Linked DNA regions of Saccharomyces cerevisiae S288C. The protein of the gene in region 1 binds, or shares a complex with, the protein of each later gene. Each region holds a gene or a part of one and is shown in the gene's direction. Other genes may lie near its edges. The genes, in order: MOB1 and DBF2.

The links.
Region 2: the proteins of MOB1 (region 1) and DBF2 are in contact, whole or in part, in a crystal structure (PDB 5NCN), measured with the Saccharomyces cerevisiae proteins. Residues at the interface, in NP_012160.2 of Saccharomyces cerevisiae: Leu141 (codon at 13,902), Asn142 (codon at 13,905), Ala144 (codon at 13,911), Pro148 (codon at 13,923), Arg149 (codon at 13,926), Gly150 (codon at 13,929), Glu151 (codon at 13,932), Asp152 (codon at 13,935), Glu155 (codon at 13,944), Trp156 (codon at 13,947), Ala158 (codon at 13,953), Val159 (codon at 13,956), Val162 (codon at 13,965), Asp163 (codon at 13,968), Asn166 (codon at 13,977), Gln167 (codon at 13,980), Met170 (codon at 13,989), Leu171 (codon at 13,992), Gly173 (codon at 13,998), Ser174 (codon at 14,001), Glu177 (codon at 14,010), Phe178 (codon at 14,013), Phe231 (codon at 14,172), Pro232 (codon at 14,175), Ser233 (codon at 14,178), Lys234 (codon at 14,181), Val235 (codon at 14,184), Gly237 (codon at 14,190), Phe239 (codon at 14,196), Leu273 (codon at 14,298); in NP_011606.3 of Saccharomyces cerevisiae: Lys99 (codon at 9,587), Thr100 (codon at 9,590), Val103 (codon at 9,599), Val104 (codon at 9,602), Val106 (codon at 9,608), Cys107 (codon at 9,611), Lys108 (codon at 9,614), Tyr110 (codon at 9,620), Phe111 (codon at 9,623), His114 (codon at 9,632), Tyr115 (codon at 9,635), Met118 (codon at 9,644), Phe119 (codon at 9,647), Val122 (codon at 9,656), Arg125 (codon at 9,665), Leu158 (codon at 9,764), Glu161 (codon at 9,773), His162 (codon at 9,776), Gln163 (codon at 9,779), Leu165 (codon at 9,785), Arg166 (codon at 9,788), Arg168 (codon at 9,794), Arg169 (codon at 9,797), Leu170 (codon at 9,800).

The regions. Positions count from the first base shown.
Region 1 is NC_001141.2:153,019-168,769, forward strand, and holds MOB1 (Mob1p), read left to right. Parts: upstream 1-13,396; coding exon 13,397-13,416; intron 13,417-13,501; coding exon 13,502-14,426; downstream 14,427-15,751. Other genes in the region: HOS4 (Hos4p), read left to right, coding at 1-1,828; COX5B (cytochrome c oxidase subunit Vb), read left to right, coding at 2,204-2,204, 2,293-2,747; HPM1 (protein-histidine N-methyltransferase), read left to right, coding at 3,027-4,160; COPII subunit SEC24, read right to left, coding at 4,367-7,147; YIL108W (putative metalloendopeptidase), read left to right, coding at 7,869-9,959; PFK26 (6-phosphofructo-2-kinase), read right to left, coding at 10,260-12,743; SLM1 (phosphatidylinositol 4,5-bisphosphate-binding protein), read right to left, coding at 14,563-15,751; YIL105W-A (uncharacterized protein), read left to right, coding at 14,646-14,786. UniProt on the Saccharomyces cerevisiae protein: Functions as an activator subunit for the DBF2 protein kinase. Binds to DBF2, which is required for the phosphorylation and activation of DBF2 by the upstream kinase CDC15 in late anaphase.
Region 2 is NC_001139.9:658,897-674,852, forward strand, and holds DBF2 (serine/threonine-protein kinase DBF2), read left to right. Parts: upstream 1-9,292; coding exon 9,293-11,011; downstream 11,012-15,956. Other genes in the region: NNF2 (Nnf2p), read left to right, coding at 1-874; rRNA-processing protein UTP22, read left to right, coding at 3,462-7,175; U4/U6-U5 snRNP complex subunit PRP31, read left to right, coding at 7,445-8,929; DRN1 (Drn1p), read left to right, coding at 11,492-13,015; VAS1 (valine--tRNA ligase), read left to right, coding at 13,290-15,956. UniProt on the Saccharomyces cerevisiae protein: Ser/Thr-protein kinase involved in the mitotic exit network (MEN) and required after the metaphase to anaphase cell cycle transition. Phosphorylates CHS2 to regulate its dynamics and chitin synthesis at the division site during cytokinesis.

The DNA.
Region 1 (15,751 bases):
TAATGACAAATCTAAAAATGGCAATAATGCTCACACAATAGATCAGCCACCTTTTGATAATACCACAAAAGCCAAAAACGAAAAGGCCGCTGACTCACCTTCAATGGCTTCCAATATTGATGAGAAAGCTCCGGAAGAGGAATTCTATTGGACAGATGTTACTTCTAGAGCGGGAAAAGAAAAACTGTTTAAAGCTTCGAAGGAGGGACATTTACCATACGTTGGTACGTATGTAGAAAATGGTGGTAAGATAGACTTAAGGTCATTTTTCGAAAGCGTTAAGTGTGGCCATGAAGATATTACAAGTATCTTTTTGGCATTCGGATTTCCCGTAAATCAAACTTCAAGGGATAATAAAACATCCGCTTTAATGGTAGCTGTAGGTCGTGGCCATCTTGGAACTGTTAAACTGCTATTAGAGGCAGGTGCAGATCCAACCAAAAGAGATAAAAAGGGTCGTACCGCTTTGTACTATGCCAAAAACAGCATAATGGGAATAACAAACAGTGAAGAAATTCAATTGATTGAAAATGCTATAAATAACTATTTGAAGAAGCACTCTGAAGATAATAATGATGATGATGATGATGATGATAATAATAATGAAACATATAAACATGAAAAAAAGAGAGAGAAAACGCAATCACCCATATTAGCAAGCCGAAGAAGTGCCACTCCTAGAATTGAAGACGAAGAGGACGATACGAGGATGCTCAATCTGGCAGACGATGACTTTAATAACGATCGTGATGTCAAGGAATCTACAACTTCGGATTCGCGCAAGAGATTGGATGACAATGAAAATGTTGGTACTCAATACTCATTGGACTGGAAAAAACGTAAAACAAATGCCTTGCAAGATGAAGAAAAATTAAAAAGTATCTCACCACTCTCTATGGAACCTCATTCTCCAAAGAAGGCAAAATCTGTAGAGATAAGTAAAATACATGAAGAAACGGCTGCTGAAAGAGAAGCAAGACTCAAGGAAGAGGAAGAATACAGAAAGAAAAGATTAGAAAAGAAAAGAAAAAAAGAACAGGAACTACTACAAAAGCTGGCCGAAGATGAGAAAAAAAGGATCGAAGAACAGGAGAAGCAGAAAGTCTTAGAAATGGAAAGATTGGAAAAAGCTACTTTAGAGAAAGCAAGAAAAATGGAAAGGGAAAAAGAAATGGAAGAAATCTCTTATAGAAGGGCAGTAAGGGACTTATATCCGTTAGGACTGAAGATTATTAACTTCAACGATAAACTTGATTACAAAAGATTTTTGCCGCTATATTATTTTGTAGACGAAAAAAACGATAAATTTGTGCTCGACTTGCAAGTAATGATATTGTTGAAGGATATCGACTTGCTCTCAAAGGACAACCAACCAACTTCTGAGAAGATTCCCGTCGATCCCTCGCACCTGACTCCATTGTGGAATATGTTGAAATTCATTTTCCTGTATGGAGGTAGTTATGATGATAAAAAGAACAACATGGAAAATAAAAGATATGTTGTAAACTTTGATGGGGTTGATTTGGACACAAAGATTGGGTATGAGCTTTTGGAGTACAAAAAATTTGTTAGTTTGCCCATGGCGTGGATTAAATGGGATAACGTTGTTATTGAAAACCACGCAAAAAGAAAAGAAATTGAAGGAAATATGATTCAAATATCAATAAACGAATTTGCACGATGGAGAAACGATAAGCTGAACAAAGCGCAGCAGCCGACGCGCAAACAGCGTTCTCTAAAAATACCTCGAGAGTTACCGGTTAAATTTCAACACCGTATGAGCATATCCTCCGTCCTCCAGCAGACATCCAAAGAACCATTTTGGTAAAACAATTCATCGGTCCGTTGGCATATGCTCATACATAGTTGCATTTTCGATTCATTAAATACTATTCATGTTAACATAATTCCATATAATCGTACTGTTTTGTCATTATTATATCGGCATGACACTCACCAATTTCTTTTTTTGATTTTGTATTGTTCGATAAGGCAACGAACGAGTACTCGAAAAAATGTCATGGACCCCTTAAAATTACTGAGGGGTTCAGAAAATACCGTGCAAAAGACGAAAAAAGACGAATTTCATTTGATTTATATTTTATAAATGACTGTTGCATTAAACAATAGACCAATTATTTCAATTTAATATTCTTTGCAGGAAACTTTCACAATGGAATAACGCCACATATTCATTGTAAAGAGCATGTATAACAAACACTGATTTTTGTTTTGAGTTTTAAAAGATATCCATTTACTAACATTCGAGGTGTACAAGCACAAGTTTTGCAGTGTTGCGTACTTCTCTTACTAAAGGGGCACGGCTAACTGGGACAAGATTTGTTCAAACAAAGGCCCTTTCGAAGGCAACATTGACAGATCTGCCCGAAAGATGGGAAAATATGCCAAACTTAGAACAGAAAGAGATTGCAGATAATTTGACAGAACGTCAAAAGCTTCCATGGAAAACTCTCAATAACGAGGAAATCAAAGCAGCTTGGTACATATCCTACGGCGAGTGGGGACCTAGAAGACCTGTACACGGAAAAGGCGATGTTGCATTTATAACTAAAGGAGTATTTTTAGGGTTAGGAATCTCATTTGGGCTCTTTGGTTTAGTGAGACTATTAGCCAATCCTGAAACTCCAAAGACTATGAACAGGGAATGGCAGTTGAAATCAGACGAGTATCTGAAGTCAAAAAATGCCAATCCTTGGGGAGGTTATTCTCAAGTTCAATCTAAATAAGTAGACGAGGAAAATAAAATTGTTTCGTATATTCCGTGTTTGGGGTATAAGTAGATTGTTTTCATATATACGCATTTGGTCTTAGTTCAGTAGGTTGATTACTTAGTTCCTTGTACCTTCTTCTGCAAATATCATTCATTGTTACTTCGAAGAAGAAAAAAAATAATCATGGAAAATTGGAAAAAAAAAAAGTCCAATCTAAAAAATAAAAATGTTCAAGTCATCGATTCTATGGGGAGGAAAAGGACAATCAGAACCGAAGTGTTGTGTAGCTAAAATATGTCATTTTCCTTCGGCTTTACTTCCAATGACTTTGATGATGATGAGCTTGTTGCTCAACCTGAAACATTCGTTGAAAGCAGCAAAGAAAACGAAAATACCACTGCTTACATCAATCCATTAGATTCGGATTTCTTGTCGCAAGCTGGAGTTGTGCAGCCAAATGTGGAAGACCTAGGAACAATATTGGAAAGTCTTAAGGATGTTAGATTGACATTTGAAGAGTTCCAATCTCCGATATATAGAAAACCATTGATCAAGAGGGAACTATTCGATGTCAAACATCAGCTAATGTTAGAGACAGATGCCCAATCCAACAACAACTCCACGGAACTGGACATTTTACTAGGTGATACTTCTGAAGATTTGAGAAAGAACATCTATGAAGGTGGGTTGAAATCATGGGAGTGCTCTTATGATTTAGTTGATTTGTTGTCAGAGAACGTTGATAGAATAAGCAACGATATCGACGCGGTTGTCGAAATAGGCTGTGGTACGGCACTACCCTCAGAGTTTCTTTTCAGATCTGCTCTTCTACGGAATGATAGAAGTAAAGGTTTAAAGTTTGTTTTGACTGACTATAATGCCAGTGTATTAAGATTAGTTACCATACCGAATTTGGTTATAACATGGGCTAAAACGGTTTTGACAAAGGAACAATGGTACGCCTTACAGAAAGACGAATGTGAAGATATTCCAATAAATAATGAGGAACTGCTTCTTACCTCAAAGCTGTTAGCTGCCTTTTACGACGATGTACAAAGCAGGAATATCAGCGTCACTCTTATATCAGGATCGTGGGGACGTAAATTTAGTAATTTGATCCATGAAGTACTCTCAGGTAGCCAAAAAGTCCTTTCATTATCCTCAGAAACAATTTATCAACCTGACAATTTGCCCGTTATAGCGGAAACAATACTTGACATACACAATTTACCACAAACCGATGTCAAAACTTACGTAGCCGCAAAGGATATTTATTTTGGAGTCGGTGGTAGCATCACTGAATTTGAAGCTTATTTGGACGACAAAATAAACTCCGAACATCTACCAATTCATTCTGAAAGGTTTAAAGTTAACTCTGGCTTAAAAAGGTCGATTATATGCATTGAAACAAATAAAGCTATCCGATAGTTAGTATAATTTGTTTCAACTTCATTTCCTTAAGTTAATCCATAAGTCTTTTACTGTATCTTTTATTTATAACATGGATGAAAATAGAAAAGAAATATAGAAGTAAAAATTAAAGTAACTGTTCAATATACATAATATAATTGGAAAGCAAAAATGCAACCAACAAAAATATACAGTTTCTTTTTATCATTGATTCCCTTTTAGCCTTATTTGCTAATTCTGGCTTTCATGATTTGTAAGAATTCTCTGTAACTTTCGTTATTCAAAATCTTATCCTCCACTAAGGTGCTAGAAGCCCATAGTCTTAGCGTTGCAACTTCCCTAGCAGATGCATGGTTAACGGGCTCGCTCAAAGAGGCACCCCTAACAATATACAATGATTGGTAAGTGATGACATCATCATGGTTTCTCAATTGGTTGATAATGTTTCTTACTCTTTGATTGAATTCAGAATTTTCAACAACAGGTATTTCCTGTTTGCCAATTGGAATGTCAAAGATATCCTGTGTTCCAAACACATCGAATACTAGCGCTGGTACAGCGTCACCACCCATCCACAAAAACAATTCGTTACCATTATCTATCAAGTATAGACCGTATCTTTCAAACAACGAAGAGGTAGCATTGATTGGTTGAGGCAAAACAATTGTGCCAGTAGCTTCACCATCTTCAGTTTGCACTGGTAACCCAGCCTCATCAGCCATATCATGCAGCGAATAAACATCAGGGTAGATGTTTTTGATTAGATATTTCAAAGGTAATGATTCTAAGTTGTTCAAGGCCGAGGCGCGATGGTCACTTGGGACAATACCAGATCTAAATGCCATATGCTTAGTTAAAGAATGCATTAACAATGGGAACATTCTCAAATTGGCACATAACCTCAATGGGGCCCCCCCTGCAGTGTTGGACACCACTATTTCCTTCTTGTACGTGGCTAAGATATCTTGCACGGATTTGTTGATCAATACTCTTGCATCGTCCAAACTGGAATTCAATGCTTTCTCCACCGCCTTCGAGTTGTAAAACGACGCTATAGCTAATTGGTCAGCAGATGCGTAGACTTCTGCCAACGATTCCGTGGTTGGCATAGCCAATGTTATAATTCTTATTCTACGTTGACTATTATTCAGAGATAAAAGTACCGCTACTTGAACATAACAATAGTCAGCCATAATGGATTCATCAACGTTAACTTCGAATAAGTATGATTGATCTCTTGGCATGGTGGAAAATGCACATAAATCAGATGATCTATTGAAGAAGTGACCATAGAATCTACTCATTCTCAAACCTGTGGAACCACGGGCTCTCATTACGGTTTCCATACAGAAATCCATGGAAATGTGCTTGGCAAACTCAGTGGAAAATTTGACAATATCATTTGGGTTCTTGCCTGAAAAACCAGGATAGAAATGCGTTTGACCAGCAGTGAAACGACTCAAATTCGATAGTGATGCAACGTCCATATAATCTTCAGAAGCCAAAAATAAATCGACAGTAATCTGTACTTTAGAACAATCGATGGTGAAATTCTTATAAAATGAGTCTTGACAGGAAAGTAGTTGTGCAGTTTCCTTGGATGTATTAACAACACCACTTTCATTTCTCCTTTGTAATTTTCCTATGCCTAAGTTGGGCAAAGTACCTGACACAACAATTATTTTACCACCAACGCCACCAATTAAATGATAAGCGGATTTCAAAGCGGGGCCCAGTGCGAAATTTGTGATTAAATTAGATTGGAAGATTTGAGGAATCTTGGTCAATAAAGTTTCAATGTTTTGTCTGCAGGCCTTTAAGGACACAACCATAGAGTTTGGTCTGGGCAAGAAAGGCTCTTCCAGGTCGGCAATATCCATCATGTTGATTTGATCGGCGGACTCTTCATTGTTTTCAGAATCCAATGGGATTTTAAAGTAGTGAATGGCGTTGTCTACACATAAGATGGAAATTCTGGTTCTTTCATCATGGTTTGGAATGGAATCAAGATTTTGCAAAAGGGTGTTGATGGTAGTGGCCAGTAACCCACTCTTGATAGAGGACTGGGAGACATCGATCAGGAAACAGTAAGTGGCTGGAGGTGGTTGTCTTAGAGTATATTCCTTTGGGGCCATATATTCCATCACAGCACATTTGATTTCATTTCTGTCGTATCTACTCTTTGGGTCGTTTGGATCGCTCTGGTCCATTTGCATAGGAACGTCATTGGCCAGACGACAAAAGTTACATCTCCATCTTCTGCCTTGCTCGATAAAAGTGACAAAAGGGTTCATGTAAGAACGACAACGACGACAACGGACAATAAGTCCATCTTCATTCAATGGAGGCGGGTCGATATCGTCGTACAAGTGTTGGTATGGTCTGATAACAAGCCCAAATGGAAGTTTAGACTTCTTCAGCAGGGAGCTGTTCTTAGGAACGGCGTTCAAGGTCGACCTGATATAATCTGGAGACGCATTGGACAATTCAGAAGGAACTAACATCCTTTCTGGAGGAATAACCAACGGTGGGGGAGGCAAGGTCAGATCGGTAATTGGAGGAGGCAATTCCGTCAACAGATCGATTGGATACAACTGGTTCATGGGCCTCATGTTTTGGCCCATTGCGGCGCTAGGTTGGCCATACGCAGGCGCTGCCATTGGTTGTTGCTGTTGCTGCAAAGGTGTGCCCATTTGCACGGGAACCTGTGGCTGCATATAAGCGTTAGGATCGACTAGCGGTACGTTGTGCAGATGCATATCGTTCATGGAAGTGGTGGCCTGATCAATTTGCTGGTGTAACTGTTCTTGAGCAGGGGTTAGGAATTGTTGCTGCCCCATGGAAGGGACTGCACCCTGTGGCGGCATTCCCATCTGACCATAGCTCATTCCAGCTGCAGCAGGATCCTGCGGAGGCATGAATTGTGCTGGCTGTTGTAGAGGGGTGGCATTTTGTCCATACTGGAGCTGAGCTTGTGGGTAAACACGTTTCTTGTGATGAGACATTTTGCAGATGGTCTCAGACTTATATATTTATGTCTGTTTCAATGCGGCAAAAATGGACCTGAGTGCCAGATAAAACCTTTTTGTAGTGCTATTTTTGGCCTGTTTCCTGATGTACCATCCTCCTTACATAGTTTTGTTTTTCTTCGTTTTCGTTCTTCCAGTTTTCATTTTCTTCTGCCGTAAATGGAAAAAACAAGAAAAAAAAAAAGAGAACAGCTAAGCGTTAACAAATCTGCTCCAGTGGCCATGTCCAAGACTGTTTTTCAAGCCCAGATAGTGCCTGAATAGACTGCATTAAGCTGAAAAACTTATAGCAGTGGTTAGTGCAAAATGCACACTTGTCAGTGCTATGTATATTTGTGACACGATTCTATCACCCAAACATAGCACTAATTACTTTTTTGTTACCCGGCATTCTAGGCGGAAATTTGCTGAAATTTTCCATCAATTAATTACGTAACCTATTCTTTTAAGAGCATGATGTTGTATATAAATATAGATCACCTTAGGAACAGTCAGGCTTTCTTAGGTTTCAGAAGTTCATGTGTCTTGGCGCAGTCAATTCTCTCGATCTTTTTTTGGTTTGGACGTTTAAGAGTAGCGGTCGCCGGAAAATAGAGAGAAAAAGGAAATTTAAAAGGAGTTCTTCTTTCTTCTTATTATTAGATCGTATACAGTAAAAAAAAAAAAAGGAAGTAGTAGTTCGAAGAGAAAGAAATAAATGGTAGGCTCGAAGGATATTGATCTATTCAACCTGAGAGAGAACGAGCAAATCGTTTCTCCTTGTCTTATCGTGCACGGAAAATGCAATAAGCAAAATGGTGCGAAGACCGTTCAAGTGCAGCATCCACAATTGCCTCCAATTACTTACCCCATACATAATCAGTTCTTCAAGGCCACTGTGATATTGACTCCTGGTGAGAACAAGTTGACCTTTGTTACAGACACTAACACCGCTAGGACAATCGTATGTTACTACACACCACTGACGCAGAACCCTCCCGTACACCTGTGTCTGATCTTGGCCAAGGATTCGCCTTTACAGTTTGACTCTCCTCGAGAACAGAAGGACAGAGAGGGCGGGAATGGCCTCGAATTGGCAATCAAGAAGCTAAGACTTGGGGCCAGACTCATGCAAGCGTACACGAACGAGCAAATGCTGAGAAACAGTATGGGAAATAGGACGTTTCCCTTTGTTGAAGAATTTACCTGGGACACGCTGTTCGAACGGCCTGCTATGAGAAACACCATCAAAATACATGTAGTTCGTTCGGAAAAGACGGTGAAGGAAATCCAGGACCCTGACATAGCTCAACAGAATTCCAAAGGGAAAAACACCGGCGCCCTTTTTGGGATAGCCATGGACGCCCTTAAAAGTTACGGCGGACCCTTCACCAATAACGAAAAGCCTGTTCAGGCAGCTTGTATGTTTCTAGACACCCACTGGGATGGTAAGTTGATTAGAGGCCACGCCGCATTGGGTGGGGGTGACGACAGCATTAAGCTCGCCATTTTTGGGTCGCACGGGCTTTACTCATGGCCTACTTGTCTCGAGCAATTGGTGCCTTATTTTACTGATGAGACAAGATCCTCCACCAGTGAAGTCGCCAACGACTGTAATGAGTGTGGTACTTACTGGGAATGTTTGACTATCACGTTGGGAGCATTTATGCATGAGATTGGTCACTTACTGGGTTGTCCTCATCAGGAAAGCGGTGTTATGCTAAGAGGCTATACCACTTTGAATAGGTCTTTCTTGACTAAAGAGGCTTATTCTGTAAGAACTAATTCAACTGGTGCTAGTCCTCCCATCTTCCCCAAGGAAGAATGTACCTGGAACCGTCTCGATACGGTAAGATTTTTGTACCACCCCTCTTTCACTTTACCACAGGATTATTACGATCCATCGTTCATGAGACCTACAAAATTGGGCGGATACCCCAATATAAAACACTCTGTATATCCTTTGGGTAACGGCAGTTGCCGCATATTATCGCCCACAGGAATCTATTTGATTGAAATTATATGTGATGATTTGGCCAGGGGCCATATTGAATACTTGCCGGTTTCCCTAGGTGGACAGGGGCCTCAACGGGAAGTTATAGTAACATTAGATGATTTACGTGCCAGGTTGCCCAAGAATGAACTCGCCAAGTTTGGCAATACCTTCAAATTGAAAATTCTTTCTGTTAATGCACCGGAAACCGAGTTCGACAAGTTCCCATCTTTGTTAGATGTTCAGCCATTAGACATGTCGAAATATGGGTTTTCTAAAAATGTTCAAGGTATCAAATCACCACTTTATGGTCGCAGCGACGGTGGTAATGCTGTCGGCGTCGTCGCTTTTGATGTTAGATTAGTCACTGCTGTGAGAATATACCATGGCTATGCATTAGATGGTGTGAGGTTTTATTACAAGGAAAAACCAACTGGAACAAAGGATGCTCCCGCATCCAAGCCCTCTGTACCACCAAGAAATTATTTCTCAAAAATTACACATAGTATCAAAAATCATGCTTCAATAAACGAAGAAAATCTAAAAAGTGTACTCTTTGGACATGAAACACAAAATTTTACGGATGCTACACTAGAACCGGGTGAAATAATCATTGGGTTTAATCTGAGGTGCGGAGCTTGGGTTGATGCTATCCAAATTATAACGAGTCATGGGAGAATGACCGACATGTTTGGTAACAAAGACGGAGGTGGGTTCGCTGAATTGCAGCCACCTAATGGCCAATATATCCTAGGTGTGACTGGCAGAGTCGGTCAATGGGTCGACGCCTTCGGAATTATTTACGGAGCTTTATAGTAATTAGTCAAGGTTTTTTTTTTCTTATTTTTTTCTATTTCATAACTTAGTCATATCAAAATATATCTATTAAATTATTTTCCATATATACGTAGATATTCTTCATTTGCATAATTCTTTGGGAAAAAGGAAAACAGTTATAGAAAAATATAAACAAAAAACCGCAACACTTCATGATTGCGTCGAACAATATACCTTAAAGAAGAAAAAAAAAGGTTGGTTTTATCACTTCATTAGTCTATTTGAATAATTCATAAAATATTTCTGATTTTTTTTTTTTTTTTTTTTTTTCATATTATTTTAAACGTGACTTTGGCTGCGATTCATGGTTTTTGCCCTTATATCTTCGTTGTCATTATTATCAGCATTATTAGGATAATCCTTTCCATGTAATAGAAAACTTTTATTTTTCAACATGGATAACTTTTCGTCCACTTTATCTATTTCAAAAATTTGCCTTGGTGTAGCCGCTGACTTCTTTACATTAGGTACATTAGAAGCCGCTTTATTGTTGTTAGCCAAAAGAGGATTCACGTTGTTTTGATTTGGAACAACCCTGGGACGATGTATCGAAATTGAGGTACCTCCACCATCTAAGATGTTATTAGAAGTATTAGTGGCCATAAGTGGTGCAGATAATGGTATTCTCGAATCACCATTTTCATTCTTGATGTTAAAGTTGCTCCCAATGAGAGTGGTATTATTGCTGCCAGTTTGAGCACTAACGCTATTCTTGGGTTGTTCTGATAATTCACTCTGGGATGAAGATGCAGAAGTAGGATTAGATCTTTTTCTTGACAAAAAGTCACTTGCAAAGCTGCTTCTTGCACTTGGCGGAGCTGTTGGTATAACAGAATATCTTCTTTCATTATAAACAAGGCCAACCTCCTTTACTCTGGTGGTATTCAAGTCCGTTTGTGGGACCTTAGAAAATGAATCCGATGCTTCATCATACTCCCATAATGACCAAGTGATTCCATATGGTTTTGGTTCTAGGCAATATACACAATGTAATGGGACATCCAAATTGGCAATAATACCCATACTCAAGTTCATAAAATAACCCAATAAGGCTCTTGCCACCACCCGGTGTGTAATAATAAGAACGTTATCCTCGATTCTTTCTAGTTCTGTGATAACAGGTCTGAGTCTATTAATAACGTCCATATACGATTCACCGCCAATACCAGGGTATCTGTATCTCAACTTATCTTTCTGTCTTTTTTCGAATTCTTCAGGAAAGTTGTTTTTAATTTCTGGATATGTCATACCATCATAATCACCTGCACTTAACTCATCTAACATTTTCATTTGTTTGATAGGATAATCATCTTCGTTGAAATATTGAGCAGTCCCTATAGTCCTAGCACGCATGCTGGTCCAAACGAAAAAGTCATTATAAATGTTCCCATCTGTATTTTCATTATTCTTTTTTTGTTGCATGAGATTTTGATAAAATATTTCTCTCTGTCTGGCAATGAATTTTGGTAGACTTTTAGCAAATCTTAGACCACGAGGAGTCAAATGGGAATTTCCGCCTATACGGCCACTAACATTATCTTCGCTCTCGCCACTTCTCGTTATCCAAATTTGTCTGTCAGCCAAATTGAAATTTAACAAATAATATACCGTCTGCGAAGCTAAAAACCCTTGAATATTGTATGCGATGACTTTCTTTCCCACATCTATCATTTTGATGTACTGCAAATTTTCGTCATCCTCAATTGGTTCATAGGCTTTCAAGTAGTTTGCCAGGCGACTTTTAAAATCTTTTAAAGAGCTTTCAGGATCTTTACCTTTGTAATCTGGACCAAATAATTTGAGTCTAATATTTTTCTGTACCAGTGCATGATCCGAACAAACAGATTCTAAAAATAAAACCTTCAAATGAGGACTTCTCTTTCTGATTCTAGCCAGAACGTTTTTTCTTCTTTCACGAGAGGTATTTGTAGCATCAAAAATTCCCACAGATCCTGAACCTTCTAATAAATAATCTAGCAATTCATCCAGAGTATCCATGGCCCATTTGTCTCTCAACCTAGTAGAGTCGGCGTTTTTCGGCTCGAAAAACTTTGAATCCTGGTCCTTTAGGCCATGCTCCTTAGCAAACTTCCTTCTAGTGTTACCGACATTAAACACTTTACAATAGTATAAAGAATAATTTAAAAATCTGGATAATTTATTTGTAATAAATGACTTTCCCGTAGCTGGCAGTCCGACCATGACAATCACTAACTTTGATCCACTATCTTCCTTTGATATGAGACCATCTGGAGATGTTTTAGACTTTGTTAAACCAGGAACATCGATGGTGGTAGGTCTTCTTTTATGGTGTCTCGTAGGTGATTTAATGTCTTTCAAATCAATCCGAGTTACCTCATTTGCTCCATCTGAAGGAGGCATGTAGTCAGTAGTATCGTTTGTGGGAATTTTAGCATTTTTTAGTTGCGTTTCGTCGTTAATATGCAATCGATGTAGCGATTTCAAATTAGTAGCGCTATTTTCAGGAGAGTCAGAAGGTGTATTTTCTTCAGTGATTCCAGGAGAGTTCCAATTGCTCGATATAGGAGTATCGCTCAAAGGTCTTTTCTGAAAAAGTGGTAAGTGCTTAGATAATTCATCATGCGGACCCTTTTCAGCATCAATTTTATCATCGGAACTCCGGGATAAAAGATCATAACTGGAGTCTTGACTAGGTGCCACATGGTGTGGAGATTGTGTAGGAGCAAGATCAATATCAGGCGGCACAGGAGATGTTTCAGAGAAGTCTACTGGTTTGAACATGAGCTTTTATTCCTCTTGCCTTTGTTCCCTTGAATAAACCCTTCTTCTACGCCTCTTGTTATTATTTTTACTCTTTTAGCTTATGGCACAAAAGTACACAAATAGATACTAAAAGGCGAAATTTATTTCACTTGATTTACCCGTAACTGAATACTTGAGTTTGTCTATATATATATATGTATACCTTTTATTGTTAAAAAAAGAATATGCCAACAAAATCTATAATAAATAGTCCATGTACTCCACTATAAATTAATTTGCTATTGTCAGTAATGGCGCGATTAAAAATAAATAGGAAAAGAAATCTCTCCTCAAAAAATCTTATGTCCCCTAATTTCCGTATGTTGTGATTTTGGTATTCAGAGATGATCACGTGATATAAACGTGATTATTATTATCGGTCGGGTATCCCACTCGTATAATATGACAAATACGTTCGATCAAAAGAAGGGTAATACTACTTCCCAAAATGGAAATATCAAAACGTTAGAAGAATTACAATTATAGCTTTGGTAACATTACTGATCTAAAAGAGCCTTAGCTCAGCCCGTTTGAGCTGTATAGATATTTTTTTAGTTTATTCGAGAGAAAACCGGTTTTTTTGTTAGTATCTTCAACAAAATTTTCCTAATTCAATAAGGACTTCAATTTCCATGTCTTTTCTACAAAATTTGTATGTTGCTATTTTCTTTTCTACTTCAAGTATTATTGTTCATCTTTTATTAACAAACTGGGTATGAGTTACCTTTTGAAAGCAGTCATATAAGTCCCGGCCAAACAATAAGATCTACTAGAGGTTTCAAGTGGAATACTGCCAATGCAGCTAATAATGCAGGCTCTGTATCGCCTACTAAGGCAACTCCCCATAACAATACTATTAACGGCAATAATAATAATGCCAATACTATTAACAATAGAGCAGATTTTACAAACAATCCAGTAAACGGATATAATGAAAGCGACCATGGAAGGATGTCTCCCGTCCTCACTACGCCAAAGAGGCACGCCCCTCCGCCTGAACAATTACAAAATGTAACGGACTTTAACTATACACCATCGCATCAGAAGCCGTTTCTACAACCGCAAGCAGGTACGACAGTTACAACACATCAAGACATCAAGCAAATTGTGGAGATGACACTGGGGTCTGAGGGAGTCCTTAACCAAGCTGTGAAGTTACCGCGTGGTGAGGATGAGAATGAATGGCTAGCGGTTCATTGCGTGGATTTTTACAATCAGATTAATATGTTATACGGGTCCATCACAGAATTTTGCTCCCCACAAACATGCCCGAGGATGATAGCGACGAACGAATATGAATATCTTTGGGCATTTCAAAAGGGTCAGCCCCCCGTTTCGGTAAGTGCCCCTAAGTATGTGGAATGTTTGATGAGGTGGTGTCAAGACCAATTTGATGACGAATCTCTTTTTCCTTCCAAAGTCACCGGTACCTTCCCGGAGGGATTCATCCAACGAGTAATTCAACCAATTCTAAGGCGATTATTCAGAGTTTATGCGCATATTTACTGTCATCATTTTAATGAAATTCTTGAACTAAATTTACAAACCGTACTAAACACAAGTTTTAGACATTTTTGTCTTTTTGCACAAGAGTTCGAACTACTAAGACCGGCTGATTTTGGTCCGCTGTTAGAATTAGTGATGGAGTTGAGGGATAGGTAGTATTGTATATTTATATAAGTCTGCTTGTAGGTTGTATTCTTCCATGCATGGGACACAAAAACAAAAATACGGAAACATATTAATATAACATATGGATGGAAGGAAATAAAAACATTCTAGTTTACTATACTTGTATTTATGATTTGAAATCGTTTATTGGAGTTTGAATATAAATATTGGGAACTTGATCTTGTAATTCAGAATCATTAGTATCAGGTAATGAAGACATGGATGTATTCGTATTTGTTTGATTGTCCAATTTTGGTGTTACCGTGGACCCCACATAATTACTATTTATATCATCGTTTTCATCATTTTCTACCATTGTGCTATTGGCATTACTCAGCTGATACTTATTAATGCTGGTATGGTTATTGGTTAGCTTGGGTTTCCCATCTGAATTCAAGTTTAATTTTTGTGTTATGAATTTATACTTGTCTTGTATATTCGAAGTAGATGTTAAGATCTTCAAATTATCAAACCAAGACATCATTGATTCATAAGAATCGGCTTTAAAAACCCAATTGTGACCACGACGAATTATGCCGTTTTGCTTAGCATGCAACACAAACTTAGCATCCGAACCAGTCGAATTTGGTGATGATGTACTGTTTTTCCGGGAATGTTCCGTCACAGTACATTCACTTAATGCTAACGACATCACTGGTACTAAATCTTTTTTTCTGTCCGCGGTCTTGAATTCATGTAAAAAGTTCGGTGTCAGCACATAATACCCTTTTGAATAGGATTTTAGAAATTTTGATCTTCTTTCTAAAAACCCTGATTTGATTTCATAAGTCAAAGGATCGAATTGGTATTTGTAAACGATTTCTTTGAATGTCCTCATCGGTAGATTAGGCAATAAAAAGTTGGGATCCCTTGAAATGAAGTTATCCCATTCAAATTGTGGGTCAACGTTGAAAAATCCAGAATCTAATTTGGATATCAATATATCGAAAACCAATTGTGCTTCTTGTCCCAGTAATCTGGCATATATTGTTAAAGAGTTTTGAATTTCCATAACTACAATTTTTTCTAATTCAGCGCCTGAAGTCTCTAAATTATCAAAAGCTTCATGCAGAAAGTTTTCCTCCTGAAGTTGCTTTTTAATTTGTCTATCAAGCGCCAGCTTGGTTAAGAATGGATCTTGTTTTGGCACTGAATAGCGCGCATCCTTTAAAGACTCCTGAAATTGCTTCATGGCCTGTTTTGTTTGTTGTAACTCTTTGGAACAAGAATTTTTGAAATCCGACTGCAGTGATTTTATTTCCTTTATCTTGACTATTAGATCTCTCCTCAAGTCTTCCAAACGAGGAATAACATCA
Region 2 (15,956 bases), on another chromosome or scaffold:
TGTAGGCGAAGAATACGTTGTCGTTAACGGATTAGTCCCTTCTTGTTCTTATGATATTCAATTCATCAACAGACTAAATCACCGAGATGATTATTTGGTTTCTGATTTAATTGTAAGGACTTGTGGGAATAACAATGCGATTGCCGGAAAATTTGAAAACCTTGATTTCAGCTTCCCTTCATACTACCATAGGAAATTCTTATCTCCGTTGCTAACTCTGAAGCATTCCGTGCTAACTACAAACGCAAATTTGTCCGATGAAAGGACAAAATTGAAAAAGACAAAAAAGGAATTCAGCAAGAAGTTAAGTCTTTTGAGACAAGAAATTGATTATTTTAAAGGCAGGATTTCACAGAACGCAACACATGACGAAAAGAGCACTTTAAAAGTCGAAAATTTGAAGGTTGCCCTACAGCAAAGTGAGACTGCGGTAAATAAGTTAGAGATGCAATTGAAAACTCTCACTGAAAAAGAGCTTGAATTAGAAGAGGAATACTTGAAAAAGAAAGATCTACACTTGAAAAATCAATTAGAGTTCAGTAAGTTAGAAGAAAGCTTATCGAAAGACCTGAAAAACTCAGAAGGGAGGTTCCAAAAGGTCAATCAAGAATTAGTTCAACTAGGCTCTAAACTGGACAAATTGAACGCGAGAAACGAGAAGTTACAAAAGGAGGTCGATCAGAACGCAGAAGAGATAGAAAAGTTCAGTACTCAATTTTTGAGTAAAAGAGAAAAGGATAGATTTAGAAGAAAGGAGTACAGGATACGCGAAGCCAATAAATTTGAATTGACTATAAAGGGGTTAGAGCAAGATATCAACAGATTAGAAAATGAGAATGAAAATATACATAGTCTAATTGGTAATAGTTACTGATGGAAGATTAGAAAACAAAGATAGATAAGAATTCGTTTTGTAGCATCCTAAAATTTACTTCTATTGAATATATACATGTATTTATTACTTGGACGTTCTACTTTAAATGTAGTCAGTCGTTTTTTTCTCGATATTGTTTTTTTATTGTTTCCTAATAACTTCATTTGTTACTTTTTTGCCTTTTGTTATTTATGGAAATAATGCAGGTTAACATAAGTAAACATAAAATATGAGAAAAACTAAGAATGTTTGCTGATGTATTGAACAGTTCACATCGTTGTGTCTACTATTAACACTAAGTTGTTGATCAAAACATTCCCTAATTAATAGCTGCCCCAGGACTTGGAAGGCCACACTACTCTCCATGACATCAAAGATACGGCCCAAATAATCTGTATCCTCGATATGAACTTAGGACCACATATTTGGAGCTTGTCCAAAATACTAAAATGGCAGATAACAATTAGATGGTTCCAATTCAAATACATTACAAGCTACGAAAACTAATATTCTATAATTTATACTAAGTTCATGGAAAGAATTGCAATGGATTGAGGTTTCTAACGAGGTTATCACTACCGCAAATATAGAGAGTAAGTTGGTAATATACAACAATAGAATTTAATCAATAACCAATCTCAACATTATTGTATCGTATTTTAACTTATAATTGTGCTCATATCAAGTTTTCTAGGTTACAATTACGACCAATTCTCAGGTTGTTTTGCAAAATTGGCGAAGAGATGGAGGCCTACCACATATTATCACGATTTGATAGGGATAATCTGAGTAACGATTAGTTATTGACGAATCCCTTTAATATAGTTTCCACACGAGAATAGGCGCCTACTAAAGAATTGATGAATCTGCTGGTAATTTCTAGGTTTCCATTATTCGGTAAAATATACGGAATGTATTAGGGGTTCTTCATGACGATCAAAGATCCATGAATGGAGATCGGTATTTTTAAGTAATAGTGCTACTATTTTTTTCCTTTTTGCATTCTGTCGTTCAATATCCTGTTACATTATTAATCTTAGTTTCGGATTCCACTGAAATCAATAACTATATCCCATGGCTTGGGCCTTAATTCTTGTGTCATATACAATAATATGCTAGTGCCGTGAACACTAGCCAATGAAGAAATGATCGTTTTCCAACACATACCGGACGTGGCTCTGATAGTGCTCGACGATGGAAATTTCAGCATGCATACTGATGTATGTCAAGATAACAACTACAGTCCTATCGTCGTGATTATAGGGAATCGACCGCGCCACTGCTATGACAACGGAAAGTTTATCCATGGCCTGCTGATTTTGATGCTGCTGTGGACACGAGAATACCAACACCTGTTCACATCTTCATGTGGATGAACGTAACGAAGTGGATATTTAGGCTCGGTAGCGAATCTTTTGCCGTACCTCCAAATTTATCTTGTATCGATTTTTCCGTCTAGTTGAAACTGTTATTATCCGCCCCTCCAATTTTCTGTAAAGCATAGGTGCTTCTTCAAAGTATCCAATGTATTTCTTAAGCTTATCAAGAAATAACATACTTCGAATACGTCCCAAGTTTTCTGATAACTTTATCATATTCTTTTGGCTAATTGGCGATCGTTTATATACCCCAGTGATTTTGGTTATAAATTTATAATATAGTTCAAACTATCCTTCCTTTAGAACAACTGTAAGCTTTAATTTTGAGCAAGCGCTACCATTTGATATATAGCAAACTAACCAAAATGCTAAGACATCTTCTAGTCTAAAAGTAACTCTTTTTCTGTGTATCTAATTCACATTGTGAATTTGAAAAGTACCCTTATTTGTATATATGTTGGTTTTGATGGTAGGTGACCTCACTTTTCTTTAGAAAATTTGCAATTATAGTTTTAGACAATCCCTTTATGTTTCATGTGCGTATTCATTATTTTTAACAAATTCCTAGTTCTCAAATCTGAGTCTCTTGGTAAAAATTTGCCTCCTTAGCTTAGTGGTAGAGCGTTGCACTTGTAATGCAAAGGTCGTTAGTTCAATTCTGACAGGTGGCATAATTTTATATATCTCTTTTTTTGCTTGTTGTACGGAAGTTCTGTCCATCCGGTGGGCGACCGGTATAGAATTATCGCGCCATCCATGAAGGTTGGCCCAGGGCCGAGTAAAGATTTAGGCAGGACCGGTGGTGGCCACTGCCTGGGAACGTCGGCCTACGGCTCGCTGCATGCCGTTGAAAAATTTCAATTGTAATTTGGAAAATTTAACCAAATGATAATTTCAATATGTACCACTAGCACTTTACGTCAAGAATCTCAAGCAAACCAAAGGGTTTTAATCTTATACTTTTCCATTCTATTTTTTAATAGAATTTAAATCGGCAGCTCTTATACTTGGAAACAGGACGTTTTCATTTTGCTTTTTTGAAGGCCAGATATTTGCTTTCACTTTAAGAACCAACTCCAAGAAATCTTCAAAGTTTCCTTTGTTAGATTTATCCTCTGATTGAATTATTGAAACCACAGGTATAATCACTTTGGGGTAGAACATTATAGTTTTCATAGAAATTTTACAAAGGATCTCCTTCATATACCATGGCTACAAGTGTTAAAAGAAAAGCATCTGAGACTTCTGACCAGAATATTGTTAAAGTGCAAAAGAAACATTCCACACAGGACAGCACAACTGACAACGGATCCAAAGAAAATGATCACAGTAGTCAAGCCATCAACGAGCGTACCGTGCCCGAGCAAGAAAACGACGAAAGCGATACTTCACCTGAAAGTAACGAGGTCGCTACTAACACTGCTGCGACTCGCCACAATGGAAAGGTTACTGCAACAGAGTCCTATGATATTCACATAGCTAGAGAAACGGCTGAATTATTCAAGTCTAATATTTTCAAGTTACAAATTGACGAATTACTGGAGCAAGTGAAGTTAAAACAAAAACATGTTCTGAAAGTCGAAAAATTTCTACACAAGTTATATGATATTCTCCAGGAAATTCCTGATTGGGAGGAAAAGTCATTAGCTGAAGTGGACTCCTTCTTCAAAAACAAGATTGTTTCTGTTCCATTTGTTGACCCCAAACCTATTCCTCAAAATACTAATTATAAATTCAATTACAAGAAACCAGACATCTCCTTAATTGGCTCCTTTGCTCTTAAAGCTGGAATTTATCAACCTAACGGCTCTTCCATTGATACTTTACTAACAATGCCAAAGGAGTTGTTCGAAAAAAAAGATTTCTTAAATTTCAGGTGCTTACACAAGAGGAGCGTTTATTTAGCATACCTAACCCACCACCTATTGATATTATTGAAAAAAGATAAATTAGACTCATTTTTGCAACTCGAGTATTCTTATTTTGATAATGATCCGCTTTTACCAATTTTAAGAATTAGTTGTTCCAAACCAACGGGTGATTCTCTTTCTGATTATAACTTTTACAAGACCAGATTCTCTATCAACTTGCTTATTGGTTTCCCATACAAAGTCTTTGAACCAAAAAAACTGTTACCCAATAGAAACTGTATTAGAATAGCACAAGAAAGCAAAGAGCAATCTTTACCAGCCACTCCTCTTTACAATTTTTCAGTGTTATCTTCTTCAACACATGAAAACTACCTGAAGTATTTATACAAGACGAAGAAACAAACAGAATCTTTTGTTGAAGCTACTGTTTTAGGTAGATTATGGCTGCAGCAACGTGGGTTTTCATCCAATATGTCGCATTCTGGTTCATTGGGTGGATTCGGTACTTTTGAATTTACTATCTTGATGGCAGCGTTATTAAACGGTGGTGGTATAAATAGTAACAAGATATTACTTCACGGGTTTTCATCATACCAATTGTTTAAAGGTGTAATAAAATACTTAGCCACTATGGATTTGTGCCACGACGGCCATTTACAATTTCATTCTAATCCAGAGAATTCCTCCAGTTCACCAGCTTCTAAATATATTGATGAGGGTTTCCAAACTCCAACCTTATTTGATAAGTCAACCAAGGTCAATATTCTTACAAAAATGACTGTTTCTTCTTATCAAATTTTGAAAGAATATGCCGGTGAAACATTGAGAATGCTAAACAACGTTGTTCAAGACCAATTCTCAAATATTTTTTTGACTAATATTAGCCGTTTTGACAATTTGAAGTACGATCTGTGTTACGATGTACAGTTACCTTTGGGTAAGTACAATAATTTAGAAACTTCTTTAGCTGCTACATTTGGGTCAATGGAAAGAGTAAAATTTATTACTCTGGAGAATTTCCTCGCCCACAAGATTACAAATGTTGCAAGGTATGCATTGGGCGATAGAATCAAATATATCCAAATTGAAATGGTTGGTCAAAAGTCCGATTTTCCAATCACCAAAAGAAAAGTGTACTCTAACACAGGAGGTAACCATTTCAACTTTGATTTTGTAAGAGTAAAATTGATTGTTAACCCCTCTGAATGTGACAAATTAGTCACCAAGGGCCCTGCTCATTCTGAAACTATGTCTACAGAAGCAGCCGTTTTTAAGAATTTTTGGGGAATTAAATCTTCCTTAAGAAGATTCAAGGATGGCTCCATCACCCATTGTTGTGTTTGGTCTACATCCTCATCAGAGCCCATCATTTCCTCAATTGTTAACTTTGCATTGCAGAAACATGTTTCAAAAAAGGCACAAATATCAAATGAGACTATCAAGAAGTTTCATAATTTCCTACCGTTGCCAAACTTACCCTCAAGTGCTAAAACATCAGTTTTGAACTTGAGCAGCTTTTTCAACTTAAAGAAATCCTTTGACGATTTATACAAAATAATTTTCCAAATGAAGTTACCGCTTTCTGTAAAATCAATCTTACCGGTTGGCTCTGCATTTAGATACACTTCCTTATGCCAACCAGTACCATTCGCATACTCTGATCCAGATTTCTTTCAAGACGTCATTTTGGAATTTGAAACCTCACCTAAATGGCCAGATGAAATTACTTCCTTAGAAAAGGCTAAAACAGCTTTTCTTCTCAAAATTCAAGAAGAATTAAGCGCTAACTCTTCAACTTATAGGTCGTTTTTCAGCAGAGATGAATCCATCCCATACAATTTAGAAATTGTAACCTTGAACATCTTGACACCTGAAGGTTATGGATTCAAATTCAGAGTTCTAACTGAACGTGACGAAATCCTTTATTTAAGAGCTATAGCGAATGCTAGGAATGAGTTGAAACCAGAATTGGAGGCCACATTCCTAAAATTTACTGCAAAATATCTGGCTTCCGTAAGACATACTCGTACTTTGGAGAATATATCTCATTCGTATCAATTCTACTCCCCTGTGGTAAGACTATTCAAAAGATGGTTGGACACTCATTTATTACTAGGTCATATAACGGACGAATTAGCAGAGTTGATTGCCATTAAACCTTTTGTTGATCCTGCACCATATTTCATTCCAGGTTCTCTTGAAAACGGTTTCCTCAAAGTGCTTAAGTTTATAAGTCAATGGAACTGGAAAGATGATCCATTGATTTTAGATCTAGTAAAACCAGAAGATGATATAAGAGATACATTTGAAACAAGTATTGGAGCTGGCTCAGAGCTAGACTCCAAAACGATGAAAAAGCTTTCTGAAAGATTAACCCTAGCACAATATAAGGGCATTCAAATGAACTTCACGAACTTGAGGAACAGTGATCCCAACGGTACACATTTGCAATTTTTTGTTGCCTCTAAGAACGATCCAAGCGGTATTCTTTATTCATCAGGTATCCCACTACCCATTGCTACAAGGCTTACAGCATTAGCTAAAGTAGCCGTGAATCTTTTACAGACACACGGTTTAAACCAGCAAACTATCAATCTTTTATTCACGCCTGGATTAAAAGATTACGATTTTGTCGTTGATTTGAGGACACCAATAGGTTTGAAATCATCCTGTGGTATACTTTCAGCCACAGAGTTCAAGAATATAACTAACGATCAAGCCCCATCGAACTTTCCAGAGAATTTGAATGATTTAAGTGAAAAAATGGATCCAACATACCAGTTAGTGAAGTATTTGAACTTGAAGTACAAGAATAGTTTGATTTTATCAAGCCGCAAGTATATAGGTGTGAATGGTGGAGAGAAAGGAGATAAAAATGTCATCACAGGGCTAATAAAGCCACTCTTCAAGGGAGCCCACAAATTTAGAGTAAACTTGGATTGCAACGTTAAACCAGTGGATGATGAGAATGTGATTTTAAATAAAGAAGCCATATTTCATGAGATTGCTGCATTCGGGAATGACATGGTTATAAATTTTGAGACAGATTAGAATAAACAACAAAATCATAACTTTTAGAAGTATCTGTATAATATTAAATAATTAAAGCAGCCGGCAGTTTACATAAAGAATATTTTTCTTTAATTCTTTTTTTTAGATGTGGTCCTTTCGGCGATTTGGCACAAGTTAACTTAGTATTTTTAAAAGTTTTGAATAGTACTGCTGTGGCGACGCTCAGAATAAAGCTAGGTAAACGATTTGAACGCCTCAACTAGCACTATTTGATAGCATTTTGGCTGCAGAAAATATACAAAGACCTTATGAGCTCTGAAGAGGACTATTTCGATGAGCTCGAATATGACCTTGCCGATGAAGTTAATGAGGAAAAAGAAGACATACAAACTAAAAAGCTCACTACGGTAAATTGTCAAACAGAAAAATTCAATCCATTCGAAATTCTTCCGGAAAGTATAGAATTATTCAGGACGTTGGCACTCATCAGTCCTGATAGGTTATCTCTATCAGAGACAGCACAGATTTTACCAAAAATTGTCGATTTAAAAAGAATCCTTCAACAACAAGAAATAGATTTCATTAAACTGTTACCGTTTTTTAACGAAATCATCCCCCTCATCAAGAGCAATATAAAATTAATGCACAATTTTCTAATCTCACTGTACAGTAGACGTTTTCCAGAACTATCTTCATTGATACCATCACCATTACAATACTCAAAAGTGATAAGCATACTGGAAAATGAAAATTATTCAAAAAACGAAAGTGATGAACTATTTTTCCACTTGGAAAATAAAGCAAAATTGACCAGAGAGCAGATCCTCGTTTTAACAATGTCCATGAAGACGTCTTTCAAAAACAAAGAGCCATTGGACATCAAAACGAGGACGCAAATTTTAGAAGCAAATAGCATATTGGAAAATTTATGGAAACTACAAGAAGATATAGGTCAATACATAGCCTCAAAGATATCAATAATTGCCCCTAACGTGTGTTTCTTGGTAGGCCCGGAGATAGCAGCCCAATTAATAGCACATGCTGGAGGGGTTTTGGAGTTCAGTCGCATTCCCAGTTGCAACATTGCGTCCATTGGGAAGAATAAGCACCTCTCACATGAGTTACATACATTAGAGAGTGGAGTACGACAAGAAGGATATCTATTTGCTTCTGACATGATTCAGAAATTTCCCGTTTCTGTCCATAAACAAATGCTTAGGATGCTTTGTGCAAAAGTATCACTAGCCGCAAGAGTTGATGCTGGCCAGAAAAACGGTGATAGAAATACAGTTTTAGCTCATAAATGGAAAGCCGAACTATCGAAGAAAGCTAGAAAGCTATCAGAAGCCCCGAGCATTTCTGAAACGAAGGCTCTACCTATTCCGGAGGACCAACCCAAAAAGAAAAGAGCTGGGAGAAAATTTAGGAAGTACAAGGAAAAATTCAGACTATCGCATGTCAGACAATTACAAAATAGGATGGAATTTGGCAAGCAAGAACAAACTGTTCTTGATTCCTATGGTGAAGAAGTTGGTTTGGGTATGTCTAATACTTCTTTACAACAAGCAGTAGGAGCTACATCAGGTTCCAGAAGATCTGCTGGTAATCAAGCCAAGCTAACAAAGGTAATGAAGCACAGGATTTCTGAGGCTAATCAGCAAGCTGACGAATTCCTAATCTCCTTGGGTCATAATACAGAGCAACCGAATCTGTCGCCAGAGATGGTTCAAATGCACAAGAAACAGCATACTAACCCAGAAGAAGAGACCAATTGGTTTTCCGGTCATGGTTAGGGCTCTTCTACATACTTGATAATATTTAAAAAGATATTATATAGTAGTGACCGGCGAGAGCGTTTTCGCTCATAAATTTCGTAAAAAGCCAAACACCACACGCTGCAACCCAGATGCCCTTTTTAGGAAATGTAATTATTCAAAAAGTAAACAATGACATGTTTCATTCCTCAATCTAAATCATTCGAAGCTACCTTGATGTTGAAGCCCTCCGCTTGTTGTTTATTTAAAAATAAATACAAGGAGGCAATTCGTCCAAGTAAATTATTGTAAGATAGAAACCTTGCTAAAGATAGAAACTAATATACCAGAAAAATTCAAGCAACATCTACAGTATTCCTTGCTAAAGAAAAATTCTTTAATATGCTATCAAAATCAGAAAAAAATGTCGACCTCTTGGCAGGCAATATGAGCAATTTGAGTTTCGATGGGCATGGGACTCCTGGGGGCACTGGACTATTTCCTAACCAAAATATAACAAAGAGGAGGACAAGGCCTGCGGGTATCAATGATTCACCTTCGCCGGTAAAACCATCCTTTTTTCCTTACGAAGATACTTCCAACATGGACATAGACGAAGTATCTCAACCTGATATGGATGTCTCGAACTCTCCCAAGAAGCTTCCACCAAAGTTTTACGAAAGAGCAACTTCAAATAAAACACAGAGAGTTGTTAGTGTTTGCAAAATGTACTTTCTAGAACATTACTGTGATATGTTTGACTATGTAATTAGTAGAAGACAACGCACGAAGCAAGTTCTAGAATACCTGCAACAGCAAAGCCAACTTCCGAATTCTGACCAGATTAAACTCAACGAAGAGTGGTCCTCTTACTTACAAAGGGAACATCAGGTTTTGAGAAAAAGAAGGTTGAAACCAAAAAATAGGGATTTTGAAATGATCACACAAGTAGGTCAAGGTGGTTATGGGCAAGTTTATTTAGCCAGAAAGAAAGACACAAAAGAGGTGTGTGCTTTGAAAATTTTGAACAAAAAACTATTGTTTAAGCTCAACGAGACAAAACACGTTTTAACTGAAAGAGATATCCTAACCACGACAAGGTCTGAATGGTTAGTAAAACTTCTGTATGCATTCCAAGACCTACAAAGTTTATACCTGGCTATGGAATTTGTACCAGGCGGTGATTTTCGTACATTATTAATAAATACTAGATGCTTGAAAAGTGGCCATGCGAGATTTTACATCAGTGAAATGTTTTGCGCTGTTAATGCGTTACATGATTTAGGCTATACACATAGAGATTTAAAGCCGGAAAACTTCTTAATCGATGCCAAGGGACATATAAAATTAACAGATTTTGGTTTGGCTGCTGGTACGATTTCTAATGAAAGAATTGAAAGTATGAAGATAAGGTTAGAAAAAATCAAGGACCTGGAATTTCCAGCGTTTACAGAGAAATCTATAGAAGATAGAAGAAAAATGTACAACCAGTTGAGGGAGAAGGAAATTAATTATGCGAACTCCATGGTTGGGTCTCCGGATTATATGGCTTTGGAGGTTTTAGAAGGAAAGAAATATGACTTTACTGTGGATTACTGGTCGTTGGGTTGTATGCTGTTCGAAAGTTTAGTTGGTTATACACCATTTAGTGGATCATCGACTAATGAGACCTATGACAACTTAAGGCGCTGGAAACAAACTTTAAGAAGACCGAGACAATCTGATGGGAGGGCAGCATTCTCCGATAGAACTTGGGATTTAATAACAAGATTGATTGCCGATCCAATCAATCGATTAAGATCCTTCGAACATGTTAAACGCATGTCTTATTTTGCAGATATAAACTTTAGTACTTTGAGGTCAATGATCCCGCCTTTTACACCCCAACTAGACAGCGAAACTGATGCCGGTTATTTTGATGACTTCACCAGTGAGGCTGACATGGCCAAATATGCTGATGTTTTCAAAAGACAAGACAAATTAACGGCTATGGTAGATGACTCGGCAGTATCATCAAAACTTGTTGGGTTCACTTTCCGACATAGAAATGGTAAACAGGGTTCCAGTGGCATCTTATTCAACGGACTGGAACACTCAGACCCCTTTTCAACCTTTTACTAGCGTAAAAATGAATTCTTGTCTTGCATTCGCCGCGATATAATTAGCTTTAACGAGCTTCATGCAAACTTTTCAACTAGCACCTATGAACGCTTTTTTCATAAATATACATATATATATATATAGTTGTGCATTACTTAGGACTTCAAGCCCATTGTTTAAAATCTCAGTTCACGGTAACGGTCCATCCCATGACCGTTTTGAACTAAACTTAAGCATTCATGTTGGGAGCGGCGAAACTTGGTAATGTTTTACAGGAAAACAGCAATGACCACTATTAATCGAAAATCTGCAAAAAATGAAAAGGAATGGGTGTTAACATCAATTGTTTTTTCAATGATAATTACAAATTGGACTGATACTACATTGCTAGATGTACAAAAAACGCAAGGTAGCTCTCTTAGAAGGATCCATAATATATAAAAAAGGGCTTATGGTTTACTGATATCTTTTTCACTTCAAAAACTTACATATAAAAATAGGATGACAAATGCAAAGATTTTAGTAGCTCATATAAGTGAAAGCGATGCCGATGAGGCTATCAGAAAGATCAAGAAAGTGAATGAAAAATCAGGGCCCTTTGATCTAATAATTATATTCAGTAACTCGTATGATGAAAATTTTGAGCTGAATACTGATGGGTTACCTCAACTAATACTACTATCGTGTGATAAGGCTAACAATTCGAAATCCAAAAAGATAAATGAAAATGTAACATTGCTGCATAATATGGGTACTTATAAATTAGCAAATGGAATCACTCTTTCATATTTTATTTATCCGGATGATACTCTTCAAGGGGAGAAAAAAAGCATACTGGACGAATTTGGCAAAAGTGAGGATCAGGTAGACATTCTCCTTACAAAAGAATGGGGCCTTTCGATCTCTGAGAGATGTGGAAGGTTGTCTGGAAGTGAAGTTGTTGATGAATTGGCGAAAAAGTTACAAGCAAGGTACCATTTTGCCTTTTCAGATGAAATAAACTTTTACGAATTAGAGCCTTTCCAGTGGGAAAGAGAGCGCTTATCGAGGTTCCTCAATATTCCAAAATATGGATCTGGAAAGAAATGGGCCTATGCATTCAATATGCCAATAGGGGACAACGAACTAAAGGATGAACCTGAACCGCCCAACTTGATAGCTAACCCGTATAATAGCGTGGTTACAAACAGCAATAAAAGGCCACTAGAAACAGAAACAGAGAATTCGTTCGATGGAGACAAACAGGTACTTGCTAATAGAGAAAAGAATGAAAATAAAAAAATTCGAACGATTTTGCCGTCAAGTTGTCATTTCTGCTTTTCAAATCCAAACCTCGAGGATCATATGATAATATCAATCGGCAAACTAGTGTATTTAACCACAGCGAAGGGACCTTTAAGTGTTCCTAAGGGTGATATGGATATCTCAGGCCATTGCCTCATTATTCCCATTGAACATATTCCGAAATTAGATCCAAGCAAGAACGCAGAGTTGACACAGAGTATTTTGGCTTATGAAGCTAGTCTTGTGAAGATGAACTACATAAAATTTGATATGTGCACGATTGTCTTCGAAATACAGTCTGAACGTTCTATTCATTTCCACAAACAAGTTATTCCCGTTCCAAAATACCTCGTTCTAAAGTTCTGCAGTGCCTTAGATAGACAGGTTCATTTCAATAACGAAAAATTCACAAGAAATGCTAAGCTAGAGTTCCAATGTTACGATTCACACTCTTCCAAACAATATGTGGATGTAATTAACAACCAATCCAATAATTATTTACAATTTACCGTCTACGAGACTCCTGAAGCGGACCCAAAGATATATTTGGCCACATTTAATGCCAGTGAGACAATAGATCTGCAGTTTGGACGACGTGTACTAGCCTTTTTACTTAACTTGCCACGCAGGGTGAAATGGAATTCTTCAACCTGTTTACAAACTAAGCAACAAGAGACTATAGAGGCTGAAAAGTTTCAAAAGGCCTACAGGACCTATGACATTTCTCTCACAGAAAACTAAACTAAAACTATTTCATTTAGAATTTCAAATATATCCAAATATATGTATATATATGTAGAATACTAAGTCATGCTACCTCTGAACGTTTAAGAGACCTAGCAACTCAGAGGTGATGAATTAAAAGAAAAACCGGGTAAAGTTCTTCGAGAGACCGCGCTGAAAAAATTTTTTTAGAAGAGTCACCCATACAGCCTACTGGTGTTCTCTGTGTGTGCTACCACTGGCTGTCATCGTTGTTGTATGTCCTTCAGATTTATGGAATTACTTAGATGGTATGAATAAGTGGTTAAACACATTATCTAAGACATTCACTTTTCGGCTTTTGAACTGTCATTATAGGCGATCATTACCACTTTGTCAAAACTTTTCTCTGAAGAAGTCGTTAACTCATAATCAAGTCAGGTTCTTTAAAATGAGCGATCTTGATAATTTGCCTCCAGTTGACCCAAAGACTGGTGAGGTCATCATTAATCCGTTAAAGGAAGATGGCTCTCCAAAGACTCCTAAGGAAATTGAAAAAGAGAAGAAAAAGGCTGAAAAACTGTTAAAGTTCGCTGCCAAACAAGCTAAAAAAAATGCTGCTGCCACCACAGGTGCATCTCAAAAGAAACCTAAGAAAAAGAAGGAAGTTGAGCCAATCCCTGAATTTATTGACAAAACTGTTCCAGGTGAGAAAAAAATCTTAGTATCCTTGGATGATCCGGCTTTAAAAGCTTATAACCCTGCTAACGTTGAAAGTTCTTGGTATGACTGGTGGATCAAGACTGGTGTTTTTGAACCTGAGTTTACCGCTGATGGTAAGGTTAAACCAGAAGGTGTATTTTGCATTCCAGCACCTCCACCAAACGTCACTGGTGCCTTACATATTGGTCATGCTTTGACTATTGCTATCCAAGATTCTTTGATCAGATATAACAGAATGAAAGGTAAAACTGTCTTATTCTTGCCAGGTTTCGACCATGCTGGTATTGCTACTCAGTCCGTTGTGGAGAAGCAAATCTGGGCTAAGGACAGAAAGACTAGACATGACTATGGAAGAGAAGCTTTTGTTGGTAAGGTCTGGGAATGGAAAGAGGAATACCATAGCAGAATTAAGAACCAAATTCAAAAATTGGGGGCTTCTTATGATTGGAGCCGCGAAGCTTTCACTTTGAGTCCAGAATTGACCAAGTCTGTTGAAGAAGCTTTTGTTAGACTACATGATGAAGGTGTTATTTATCGTGCGTCCAGATTAGTTAATTGGTCTGTTAAATTGAATACCGCTATCTCTAATTTGGAAGTCGAAAATAAGGACGTTAAAAGTAGAACGCTTTTATCAGTCCCAGGCTATGATGAAAAGGTTGAATTTGGTGTTTTAACATCATTTGCTTATCCAGTTATCGGTAGCGATGAAAAACTGATCATTGCTACAACTAGACCTGAAACTATATTTGGTGATACTGCCGTTGCAGTTCATCCTGATGATGACCGTTACAAACACTTGCATGGTAAGTTCATCCAACATCCTTTCTTACCAAGAAAAATTCCAATTATCACCGACAAGGAAGCTGTTGACATGGAATTCGGTACTGGTGCCGTTAAGATCACTCCAGCCCATGACCAAAACGATTACAATACCGGTAAGCGTCACAATTTGGAATTCATCAATATTTTGACTGACGATGGTTTATTAAACGAGGAGTGTGGTCCAGAGTGGCAAGGCATGAAGAGGTTTGATGCCAGAAAGAAGGTCATTGAGCAGCTGAAGGAAAAGAACCTATACGTTGGCCAAGAAGATAATGAAATGACCATTCCAACTTGTTCCAGATCTGGTGACATTATTGAACCTTTATTGAAACCTCAATGGTGGGTTTCTCAAAGTGAAATGGCCAAAGATGCTATTAAGGTTGTTAGGGATGGTCAAATTACCATCACCCCCAAATCTTCTGAGGCTGAATATTTCCATTGGTTGGGTAACATCCAAGATTGGTGTATTTCCAGACAATTATGGTGGGGTCATCGTTGTCCAGTTTACTTTATTAATATCGAAGGCGAAGAACACGATAGAATTGATGGTGACTATTGGGTTGCTGGTAGGAGCATGGAGGAAGCTGAAAAGAAGGCTGCTGCCAAATACCCTAATTCCAAATTTACTCTGGAACAAGATGAAGATGTTTTAGACACCTGGTTCTCGTCCGGTTTGTGGCCTTTCTCCACTTTGGGTTGGCCAGAGAAGACTAAAGACATGGAAACTTTTTACCCCTTTTCTATGTTGGAAACTGGTTGGGATATTCTTTTCTTCTGGGTTACTAGAATGATTCTATTGGGCTTAAAATTGACCGGTTCAGTTCCATTCAAGGAAGTTTTCTGCCACTCTTTAGTCCGTGACGCTCAAGGTCGTAAGATGTCTAAATCTTTAGGTAATGTTATTGACCCACTAGACGTTATTACTGGTATTAAGTTGGATGATTTGCATGCAAAATTATTACAAGGTAACTTAGATCCAAGAGAAGTTGAAAAAGCTAAGATCGGTCAAAAGGAATCCTACCCTAACGGTATTCCTCAATGTGGTACCGATGCTATGAGGTTTGCATTATGTGCTTATACCACTGGTGGTCGTGATATTAACTTAGATATCTTACGTGTCGAAGGTTACAGAAAGTTCTGTAACAAAATCTACCAAGCTACCAAGTTTGCATTGATGAGACTCGGTGACGATTATCAACCACCTGCCACTGAAGGTCTATCAGGTAACGAATCCTTGGTTGAAAAATGGATCTTGCACAAGCTGACTGAAACCTCGAAAATTGTCAATGAAGCTCTAGATAAACGTGACTTCTTGACGTCCACTAGCAGTATTTACGAATTCTGGTATTTGATTTGTGATGTTTACATCGAGAACTCTAAATACTTGATTCAAGAAGGCTCTGCTATTGAAAAGAAGTCCGCAAAGGATACATTG